Saccharomyces cerevisiae S288C: one gene and its partners. The gene in region 1 interacts genetically with each later gene. Each region holds a gene or a part of one and is shown on either strand. Other genes may lie near its edges. The genes, in order: VAM3, FAB1 and CDC9.

The links.
Region 2: mutations in VAM3 (region 1) and FAB1 together harm fitness less than expected from each alone (positive genetic interaction), as found in Saccharomyces cerevisiae (2 studies listed by BioGRID).
Region 3: mutations in VAM3 (region 1) and CDC9 together harm fitness more than expected from each alone (negative genetic interaction), as found in Saccharomyces cerevisiae (2 studies listed by BioGRID).

The regions. Positions count from the first base shown.
Region 1 is NC_001147.6:517,437-520,630, reverse strand, and holds VAM3 (SNAP receptor VAM3), read right to left. Parts: upstream 1,511-3,194; coding exon 659-1,510; downstream 1-658. Other genes in the region: YOR105W (uncharacterized protein), read right to left, coding at 2,110-2,436; PIN2 (Pin2p), read right to left, coding at 2,141-2,989. UniProt on the Saccharomyces cerevisiae protein: Required for vacuolar assembly. Provides the t-SNARE function in a late step of the vacuolar assembly. Required for homotypic vacuole membrane fusion, autophagy and fusion of biosynthetic transport vesicles with the vacuole.
Region 2 is NC_001138.5:182,469-186,226, reverse strand, and holds the start of FAB1 (1-phosphatidylinositol-3-phosphate 5-kinase), read right to left. Parts: upstream 1,726-3,758; coding exon 1-1,725. Other genes in the region: YFR018C (uncharacterized protein), read left to right, coding at 2,005-3,096; IGD1 (Igd1p), read left to right, coding at 3,366-3,758. UniProt on the Saccharomyces cerevisiae protein: The PI(3,5)P2 regulatory complex regulates both the synthesis and turnover of phosphatidylinositol 3,5-bisphosphate (PtdIns(3,5)P2).
Region 3 is NC_001136.10:165,396-169,153, forward strand, and holds the start of CDC9 (DNA ligase (ATP) CDC9), read right to left. Parts: upstream 1,860-3,758; coding exon 1-1,859. Other genes in the region: ENT1 (epsin), read left to right, coding at 2,319-3,683. UniProt on the Saccharomyces cerevisiae protein: DNA ligase that seals nicks in double-stranded DNA during DNA replication, DNA recombination and DNA repair. The mitochondrial form is required for mitochondrial DNA maintenance but is non-essential while the nuclear form is essential for cell viability.

The DNA of each region.
Region 1 (3,194 bases):
AATAACGTACACATCGAGGTAATTATGCATGATTTCTTTTTTTGCCGAGAAATTCTGCCATTTTTATTAATCCACGCTCTGTCCTTATCTTAGTGACAGGCAAGGATGTTCTGCAAAAGCGAAAATTGAAATAAGATAAATACTTCCGAGCCAGACACGTTCTTATGTTTATCAGGGCCCACAAGGTTCATTTAGAAGACAACGCATACAATGTTTTGTTTCTTGATAACGGTTGGCGGCCGTTAAGCAACAGTAAGGCAAATGACAGTTAACGGAAAATAACAGGGTTCTTACTTTTTACATACAGTAGCACAATCCTTTTTTTATTGGCAGTCGCTAGTAGAAATTCGTGGGGATTTACGGACTACTGAAAAAAGGTCAGTGTAGATCGTACAAAGTAGAAAAAGGAAAAAGGGCATATCGAGCCCTTGCATTTAAACTACGGAGTACAAAAAACACAGGTTGCGCACATGGGAAGTGCACTATCACTAGACATCAAAGGAAATTTTGAGTCAAAAAGAGCGGCTAAGAAACCCCCCTACCACAAAAGAATAAATGCAAAAAATAACTTATACACTCTTATACACTCTTGTTTTCGTAAATAGATAAGATTGGGTCTACCAGAAAGTCTGTGCTCAATGCGCGTTTAAGGAGATTACTAACTTAATACAGCAAGCAATACCACCATGCACACAACTATTATAATGATTAGGGTGACCTTACCGCATTTGTTACGGTCCCTCTGATGCTGGTCTGCTCTGGTTAATTGTTTGTTTGCATTCTGCATGTTATCATGTAAATGCGAGATATTCTCGTCTATGGTGGTTACTTGTTCTCCCTGTTCTTTCACTAATGAACCGAGCTGATGGAAAATAGCATTGACTTCTTGTACCGCCGTATGAATGCGTCCTATCTGTTGGGATCTTTCCTGGTGAATGATTGTTTGAAAATCTAGTTCTTCTTGGGACAATCCTTGCTGTTGTTGTTCTTGTTCTTCTTGCAGCTGTAATTGGTGTTGTCCTTCGTTATGCAGTAAAGGACTCTGCTCGTTTACTTTTATAGAAATATAACTAGACTCTGGATCTTGTCGCACGGCTTCAGTTCGCGGATGGATGTCTTTTCTTTCCTTAGATGTTCCTGGTGAAATAGGCGTTTTTAGAGGGAACAGACTCTTCCTTTGATTGTATGATTGTTGTAGGGATTGATACTTCGTTTTCAGGTTCTTGAAATCAGCAGACAACTTTCCATTTTGGTGAATGAGGATGTTGCTCTCAATTTTATCCCTTACACTGGTGCAGTTCGGTATTAACTCTGTTTCAATTTTGTATCTTAGTTCTTTGGAGTCCCGTTTGGAACCAATTTTGGTGCATTCCTTTTCCAGCACGCGGGATTGTTCAGCGAATGTCTCAATTAAATTGCTTAATTCCTTCGTTTTTTGATTTGTTGAGAATTGTGGTTCTTGCTGGGAGTTACCCTTTGAAGATTGTGCTTCGATGTCGAAAAAGGACATAATCTCAACTTTCTGCAGTGGATATTAGTTGGCCAATTTGTTAATGCTGATCCCGTGGTTTTTTATTGTTCTATTTTCCTTCCTTTAATCTCCTGGCTGCTTTCTTTACATCAAAATCAAAATTCACTACAAAAATGTATATAGAGTTTTTACTGCGCATCTCGCGAAAAAAAAAGTTGTGATGTGAAACTCGAATATGAGGCTGAACGAATATTATCATTTGATTATAATAAGTATTGACTTGTATGATCTTAGTTTTGCTCTTCCTGTGTCCTCGTCAGCACCTAGGTAAACTATATGTTACAAATAGATCACTTTTATCCTGAGGAAAACAACCTAATTTATTGTACATACTAACTGACCAAGAGGAAGTTCACCATTGACTGCCCTTATTTGCATTTTAAAAGTTGCGGTTTCTGGTGTTACCTGTTAGAAGGCACCTTTTTAGCAACCGGTACAAGGAAAAACTCGTTGGAAGATTTTTTTTTACTTTCCTTTCCGTAAACGCAAGCTCACAGTTATTCCTGAAGAAATTCCTAATTGGTTCTTGCAAAATCTACCAATGAATCCTCTTGATCTTAAAATGTCTGACTGATTATTCAAAAGAAGGGGGAATATATATTTACCTCATTAGTAATATCTATCGCTTTGGTTTGGTTTATATCCCTGATATGATTGATAATTTTCGGTTGGATATGGACTTCTATGATTAGAGGAGGGAGTATTGTAACTGTTTCCCTGGAGGTTATTATTGATGTTATTATTATCGTAATAATAGTTCTCGCCATAATCGCTGATGTCAAAAATTGGAGATTGTGAAGCAACATGAGCGTTGTTGCTACCAGTATTGGCCGCATTTTGGATAAACGAATTTCTAGCATCATATTGCGGCTGAGGGCTGCTACCTTCGAAATTTTCTTCTTCATACACTAGAGGGGCCACCCTACTAGGGCTGCGTCCTTCTTTATTTCTTTCCTTCTGTTGTTTTTTCCTTGTTTTCTCTTTTTGTTTTTCCAAATCGAAATCTTCCTCTAATTCATACACCTCATTACTGGGAGTTTTGACTTCGTCGTAAAATGTATCATTCTTCGCATCGTTTCTATAATACGCACTTTCAGGTTGTTGAATAGGCTGATAAATCACAGTAGAAGGAGGAGCCACGCCCATATTAACTCTACTAAAACCCTCATTTACCGGCATTGTATTGTTTCCATTTCTGTCATTAGAACAACGACAACACCAACAAATGAACTGACCTATTCCTGTTACCCCTTGCCTGAAACATGTCAGTAAGCCCCCAATCAACCAAATCACAAGAATACAGGCCAAAACAATACCAACAATCGCAATAATTTTACATGCTTTATTGTCCATGCAGGTGTCCCAGCTTCGGAAACTTTTTCCTGTACTTACTACACCATCTGTAAAGGACGATCTCGGAAATAGTGGTACTATTTCTTTCAACTTGCAAACGTTCATTACTGTGTATACGCTTGGGAGTCTTTGATTATATTTCTAGTATTTTCTTGAAACGGTTATTTTGCTAAAAATAAACAAGATAAAAAAAATCTAAAAAGTCACGACCGGGGGTGGTTATTCTTGATCTAAGTAGCAAATATGTAATATATTTGAAACTTTCTTGCGCCCCTTTAATTTTGAAGTTCTTCTAGGCTTTTATCCAGTT
Region 2 (3,758 bases), on another chromosome or scaffold:
ATCATTATTTCCATTTGCCGTGTCATTTTGTTGCGAAGGACCTTTGGAATTGTAGTTGAATTTAAACTTGTAATTTCTATGAGCATAATTCCCGATAATACGATTGGCAGGATCCAGTATGGAAGAAGACTGTGCAGACGAAGCGGGTGTTGCAGAGCTATTGTTACTGTCCTTGTTAACACTATTGCTGCTTACATAATGGAAAATAGACCTTCTTAAGGAATGCGCAGGATTATTGATGTTGCTGTTGCTATTGGTATTGTTATAGTTGCTGTTGTTGGAAGTAGTGTTGTTGAGGTTGTTGATGGTAATAGTGCTGTTATTGGTGTTATAATGTGGCCTCAAAGTGGAATTAGAGTTGGTATCGTAATGTGATATATTGTCCATATCTCTGATAGTGTACCTTGTGGGCACGGAATCGAGGTGATGATGGCGACCGGGGTTGTCATCTTGATAATGCAAAGCCCTATCGTTTTCCGAATCGAATGAGATTTCCAGCGATCCGCCTTGCTTTGTTGCTGGGATGGCCATCTTCGGTGGTGGTGGGGGTGTAGAAATGAACAATTTAGAATCTTCACCTGAGGTCATTATACTTTGTACGTCATCGTCATTTAATAGGTAGACCTCATTCTGCTGTTGAGGGTTATCCGTTGCTGCTACTGGATCATGGAGATCGGTACCGTTATGGTTGTCCTGTGAAATGAGATGCAAATGCGAATGTGAATGAGAATATGGATTGGTATTGGAAGAACGAGAGCGAGAGCGAGACCTTGGCTCATTCAATTGCATTGTAGAATCATTCTCTTCATCACTGGAGTCCTCGTATGTGTCTGCATGCTCATAACAATTGTAACATACTCGCATCTTGGCATGACAGCCGAATCGATCACCATCTATCAAGAGAGTGCAACTGCTGCAAAAAATTTGGCCGCATATCCTGCAGTGGTGTTTCCTTCTGAAAGTGTTAAACGTTTTACCACAACTGAAACATTCTTTAGAACTCTCGTCCTTCATCCAATATTCCTTTGAGAGGACACCATTGTTACTGGTCTTGTCCTTCTTGCGGTTGTTATAAAATGCGAACAGGAAACTCTTGGACAGGGATGCGGTCAACGAAGAAGAGGCACTCTTTATCGAAGACACTTCATCGCCAACGTCGTCATGATCGCTGTCAGGAGTGCGCGCATAGGAATTCTGCATGGAAATTGGCCGATTGTTCCTAATGGGGATAGCAGTAACAGTGGATTTGGAGGCATATATGCTAGATCGTTTAAAGTTGGAGTCGTTCTTAATGGGCAGCTGCAGCGAGTGAGAAGGCTTATAGCGACTCGGATATCTCTTGATGGTGCTAGAGGGTATCCTCCCACTAGTTGTTGGCGGCAAATTTTTCTTATTCACGCTGGTACTAGTGTTAGCATTAGCTTTAATGTTCGAATGCGACGCAGTGCCGGTCACGTGACTTGTTGATGTCGCTGTTGCTATCGAGGATGATGTGGGGGGGCTTATTTTTGGCACGGAGATATTGCTCAGAATTGGGTTTGTCACTAGATCCGTCGTAGTCGACGTCGTAGATGTCGACATAATGTGCAGGGACGGTTTCTTAATATAGTTCGGTCTGGATAAGGTAGCATCGATTGTGTTCACAGATGAAGTACCAGTGGAGGACGACCGGACATGTGAGCCATCTGGAAAGGATATAGATGCATGGGGTTCTTCCGATGACATGCTGTGTGACGGTCTTGCATGTACAGGATGGAAGCTACCTTGCTATTCGAAATAGTTTTTTGTTTGGCCCTTTATTTACTTTCCATATGGTTTTCGCGTTCGTCAAGAAGTACATTGCGTTTGCGTTGCCTTCGAGGCGAGACGAAGGAAGGAACATAAGAATATAAGAAGCAAAGGAATAAGACGGCTTGTGATACATTTCATGGGAAGAAGAGGGGGAGAGGGAGAGTTAGAGAGAGTCAACAGAAAAGAAATAAAAAGACTGAAAAGGTCGTAAGCATGGGAATGAAGTACGTATTGCCTTTGCGACTAATTGGTCTAGCGTACCTGTTGGTGCTATTTCAGGTGCATAGGGTAACTGGGTGGGAGTTGTCATATGAGCAGTACCATGCAGCGCATCTGAACGAAGCTATCAACCCAGACAGCGGTTGGAACAAAAGTACCAAGAACCTGCTGTTGCCTTTTAACAGAACGCGCGTACCCGGATCGGAAGGCTCGCGCGAGATCCAGCGCTTCATCATCGAGCACTTCAACAATACGCTGGCGGGAGAATGGGCCGTTGAGACGCAAGCCTTTGAGGAGAACGGTTACCGCTTCAATAACCTTGTTATGACATTACAAAACAATGCGAGCGAGTACTTAGTGCTCGCTGCTCATTATGATACCAAGATAGCGCCCACGGGGATGGTGGGCGCTATCGACAGTGCCGCCTCGTGTGCCGCGCTGCTATATACGGCCCAGTTCCTAACGCACATCGCGTGCCACGAGCGCACGAAAGAGTACAATGACTTAGAGTCGAACACTGTAGTATCGAATTCTACCTTGGGTGTAAAGATCGTATTCTTTGATGGAGAGGAGGCCATTGAAGAGTGGGGCCCCGAGGACTCGATTTATGGAGCACGCCGATTAGCCGCCCAATGGCTTGCTGACGGCACGATGACAAGAATTCGCCTATTATTTCTTCTGGATCTTTTAGGAAGTGGCGAAGAGGAGCCGCTAGTGCCCAGCTACTATGCAGAGACACATCAAGAATATCAGCTGCTCAATCGAATAGAGGATGACTTGTTATTTCGACGTGGAGATGAAATCAACGGCGAATCGGCATTAGCCGCCGAAGTCGCGCGTCAACGCAAACATCTGGACCCCACGGACTATCGATTTTTAGGGCTCGGGCATTCGGTCATCGGAGACGACCACACGCCATTCCTGGCCGCCGGAGTACCCGTATTACATGCAATCCCGCTACCATTCCCAAGTACATGGCACACCGTGGATGATGACTTCCGGCACTTAGACGCCGCGGAGACTCGTCACTGGGCGCTGCTTGTGTGCGAATTTGTAGTACAGTCACTACGCTCCCGTAACCAGTGATAAATCCCCTGTTTCCTTTCGTTAACATCTCCCCCTGATCTGGGGGATGTGGGGTGGAATGAGTGGCCCGGTCAATGTCAGTGCACCACTCTGAAAAGCTTGCACACATACATATACATATATATATATATATATGTAGGTATAGTAAAGGTTTGCCTGAGTAATTTTTGCGCGAGAGATCTACTATCAGCAGCGATGAGAGCAGCTACATAACACATAGTAAATCACACATCTACGCAACACACACACACACGCATACACTCACCCTCATGACAGATCCCCACTTGAACACGCCCCAAGTGAGCACGTCACCCACATTTGAAAGATCACAGGACTTCCTCAACATCGACGAACCGCCCTGTGCACAGGAAACACCTAGTGTTTCTACATTCAACCTCCCGGGTCCAAGCGCTCCCGCTCAAAGCGTAGACAAGCCAGTCCCCATGATTAGACGGCGGTCTACCAATTATATGGACGCACTAAATTCCAGGGAACAAGCCCGGGAACGCGAAAGCAGTATCGGGGAGCACGCCCCGGGAGCCGAACGTAGGAGTAGCGGACCCATGGATTTCCAGAATACTATCCACAATATGCAATACAGGACCACTAACGACTCTGACCTGAGCCACGCTGGCGTGGATATGGGTGACTCCATCTCCCAT
Region 3 (3,758 bases), on another chromosome or scaffold:
CTACCATAATATGCCCCCAACACGCAGAGATCCAATGAATCTCCAACCCCCTCCAAGTAATCTTTTTTTAATTTCAACCAGTTTCTTGACCTTTTACTTGGTTCATAATGGGATTCAGGGCCCTCCAACATTTTGACCATCAAACCTTCGCATGAGTGATTAACGGACTCATCAAGGAATTTTTGAAGTTCATCAAGGTTATTTGTTGTTATCTGAGTCGCGTATTGGAATTCTCCCGGGACAACTTTTGTAACCTTCGTCAAGTATTCTCTTCTTTCCTTTAGTGACTTATTAATCAGCCTTTCATCGTTGTAGCAAAGTATATCAAATGCAAAGAGACAGACTTTAACTTTAACATCATTCAGCTCCACGTCTTTACGTTTCCTTGTACTTAAGACCTGGAAAGGCAAAATTTTCCCCTGATCTTTGTCCCAAGCAACAGCCTCACAGTCTAGAATTAAATTTTTGGTAGTATCCAAATCCTGGATAAAATCCGTTATGTTAATTTCTGGATATCTCTCAGTCATATTCTCGCCATTTCTGGAATAAATCCTCATTGTACCATCATTTAGTAAATGCACCTGAGCCCTTTCACCATCGTATTTGTATTCTGACGTAAAAGTTTCGCCTTGAAATCTATCCAATACTTCATTAATTGCCTTGGTAGGCTTGGCTAACATGGGTTTCAATGGAATTCCTGGTCTTAGAGTACAATATTTATCTAAATTCATAATACCGTGTTCCAGGCATGAGTTTATAACAATTTCATAGTTGGGTACTTGACAAAATGCGTCTCTTATCTTTTGTTGAGCACTTTCTAACACATCCATGGGGACATCTTTGTCTGGAGAGTCCTCCCTATTTTCATCATGGAGCAAAAGAGCCTTCGATAGGGATATTAAGACAGTCTTTTCAGCAAGACCGATTCTCAATTTTGACTCTAGGGATCTAATCAAAAACTTAGCCTCTATACCTTTGCAAGCAGTAAGCATTCTCTTGATCAGCTTCATCTTTTTTAATTGTGAATCTTTGCCCTGAGTCTTAGCAATAGCTCTAAGATTTTTGAAGACCTCACCCACGGTCAAGGGTTTGGGCTTAAACATAGTGGGTTGGACATTTCTCGCACCCATTGCTATTTCACCCAAATCCCCAATATCCTTGTATTTAAGTTTAATTTGGCTCATGGATTTCCCGCAAGTTTCGCTTATGGTTTTCATAAGAAGATTTTCTCCAAGGCCTAATTCCAAGCCTGCTTCGTAGTCAGGGCCCAATCTATTGATGAAAAGGTATGTTGTAGGTATTAAGTTCTTAGACGATTGCTTCATTATCTTAATAAAGAAATCAGAACAGATTCTTATAATCTCTAAACGGGAAGATATGGCCTCAATCTTGTTAAAAACCTCACAAACTTCAGAATAGGGGATATTAGACGAATAGTGATCATTATTATTTGAGCTCAAGGCGTCTTCAACTTCACCTACCAACCTCTGAGATTGTTGCGGTGAATCAGCAACACCGGAAGAGGGAGCGGATGATGGTATAGAAGAAAAATTGCTACCCATGGAGCTTGGAGCTGCTACAGTATGTGTAACAGCCGTCTGTTTCAATTTCTTGGTCGCGTATTCCTCTTCCCCACTAACATTATCCATTCTATCTTCCAGCATATGTTTGGATGATTTTTTGGGAGAAGGAGTACCTTCTGTTGGCTTATTTTTCATGGAAGTGAAGAATCTAGCCAAAGTGGCTTGTTTAGGCTTCTTACCGGCAGAGGAAGGTAATGAGGATGACATCAATAATGGCAATCTTGATTTCAAGGGACGTGCAGATGAAAGAAGGCAACCGGTCAGTAATCTGCGCATGTAATTGATGAACAATGACGTTAAAAGCTGCTCTAAACCTCCAAAATCATTACTTTTATTTTTGAACAAAGTACAGCGAGATGCAAACGCATGGCTTATTGCAGCTAAATTTCACTTTCACGCGTTTTCGCGTTAAGGTGAAAAATTCCATCAGCCATCTCAAGTGGAGGAACACATCGAAGCGAGCAAAAAGATGACAGAGTTAAACAGCAATAGAACCAGCGGCTGCAGTACGAATTCCTATTGCAAGTCTTACGGAAGGTTGGTGGGGCCTTATGTTGTTCAAAGTACTTGATTTTGGAAGTATGGTTGTCTGAAATTGTGGCTACGTATAGAGAATCATCCGGGTAATGATGAAAGTTTCTTTCAATGACAAATAGGAGTTTTAAGAAGTAGAAGAAAGAGCCGTTCGTATGAGTGCCAGGATCAGAAGGAAAGGGAGCAAGAGGCAGAACAATCATGTCGAAACAATTTGTTAGATCTGCGAAGAATTTGGTGAAAGGGTACTCTTCTACCCAGGTCCTGGTAAGAAATGCAACGTCAAACGACAATCATCAAGTGTCCAAGGACTCGTTAATTGAGCTGGCTGAAAAATCATATGATAGCGCAGATTTCTTCGAAATCATGGATATGCTGGACAAAAGACTTAACGACAAGGGCAAATACTGGAGGCATATCGCAAAGGCATTGACAGTAATAGATTACTTGATCAGGTTTGGTAGTGAGAATTGTGTTCTTTGGTGTAGAGAAAATTTATACATCATCAAGACATTGAAGGAGTTCAGGCACGAGGACGATGAGGGCATAGATCAAGGTCAAATCGTTAGGGTCAAAGCAAAAGAATTGACTGCATTACTATCTGATGACGAAAGACTGAACGAGGAAAGGAACATGAATATCAAGGGAAGAAACAGGAAAGGAAGAAGAAGAAGGGGAACTGGGCGCAGTGATGAAAATGACGATGATTTGCAAAGAGCCATTAGTGCTAGCAGGTTGACGGCGGAAGAAGACGAAAGAAGAAGAAAACAGGACGAGGATTATGAAACAGCTTTGCAGTTGAGCAAAGAAGAAGAGGAGCTAAAAAGATTGCAAGATTTACAAAGAATGCAACAACAGCAAGGCCAACAACAATTGCAACAACCTATGTATTATGATATTTTTGGTAACCCAATCACTCCTGAGGAATACGCACAATTTCAATTGCAACAACAGCAACAACAGCAACAACAACAGTTGCAACAACAACCAATGTACTACGATGTATTCGGGAATCCTATAACACCCGAAGAACTAGCACAGTTTCAACAACAACAACAACTACAGGAACAACAGTACTTAGCTTCTATGCAACAGCAGCAACAGGCAATGTCCAACAATCCATTTGCCAAATCAGAACAGAGCTCAAGTTCACCAAAACGGAACCAACTAGTAGCAGCTTCTTCTCCACAGCAACTGCAACAACAAAAACAACAAGAGCCATTGATTCAAAACAGGACAGGCAATCAATCAATGACAGACAAGTATAGTAAACTAAACGAGCTACTAGCCACAGGAACAGGTATTGATACATTCGGAAATGTAGGGGAGGCTCGTATTCCTGCCCAACATACGAAGACAGGAACATTCATCAATTCTCAAGGAACAGGATATAGGCAAGTATCGGATGATCCAAACCACAATCCGTTTTTGAACAGTCAGTATACAGGTTTACCAAGCACTAGCGTCGTACCAACACAAACAGGCTATGGCTTTGGTAACCAGTCTCAACAGCAGTCTCAAAATAATGGCTCAAATAACCGGGGATATACTCTAATTGATTTATGAAGTGATTCTGTCATTCCAGTCCGCATTTCTAATCAGATGAGCATTTTCTCGCATCGCATAATATATATGGACTAA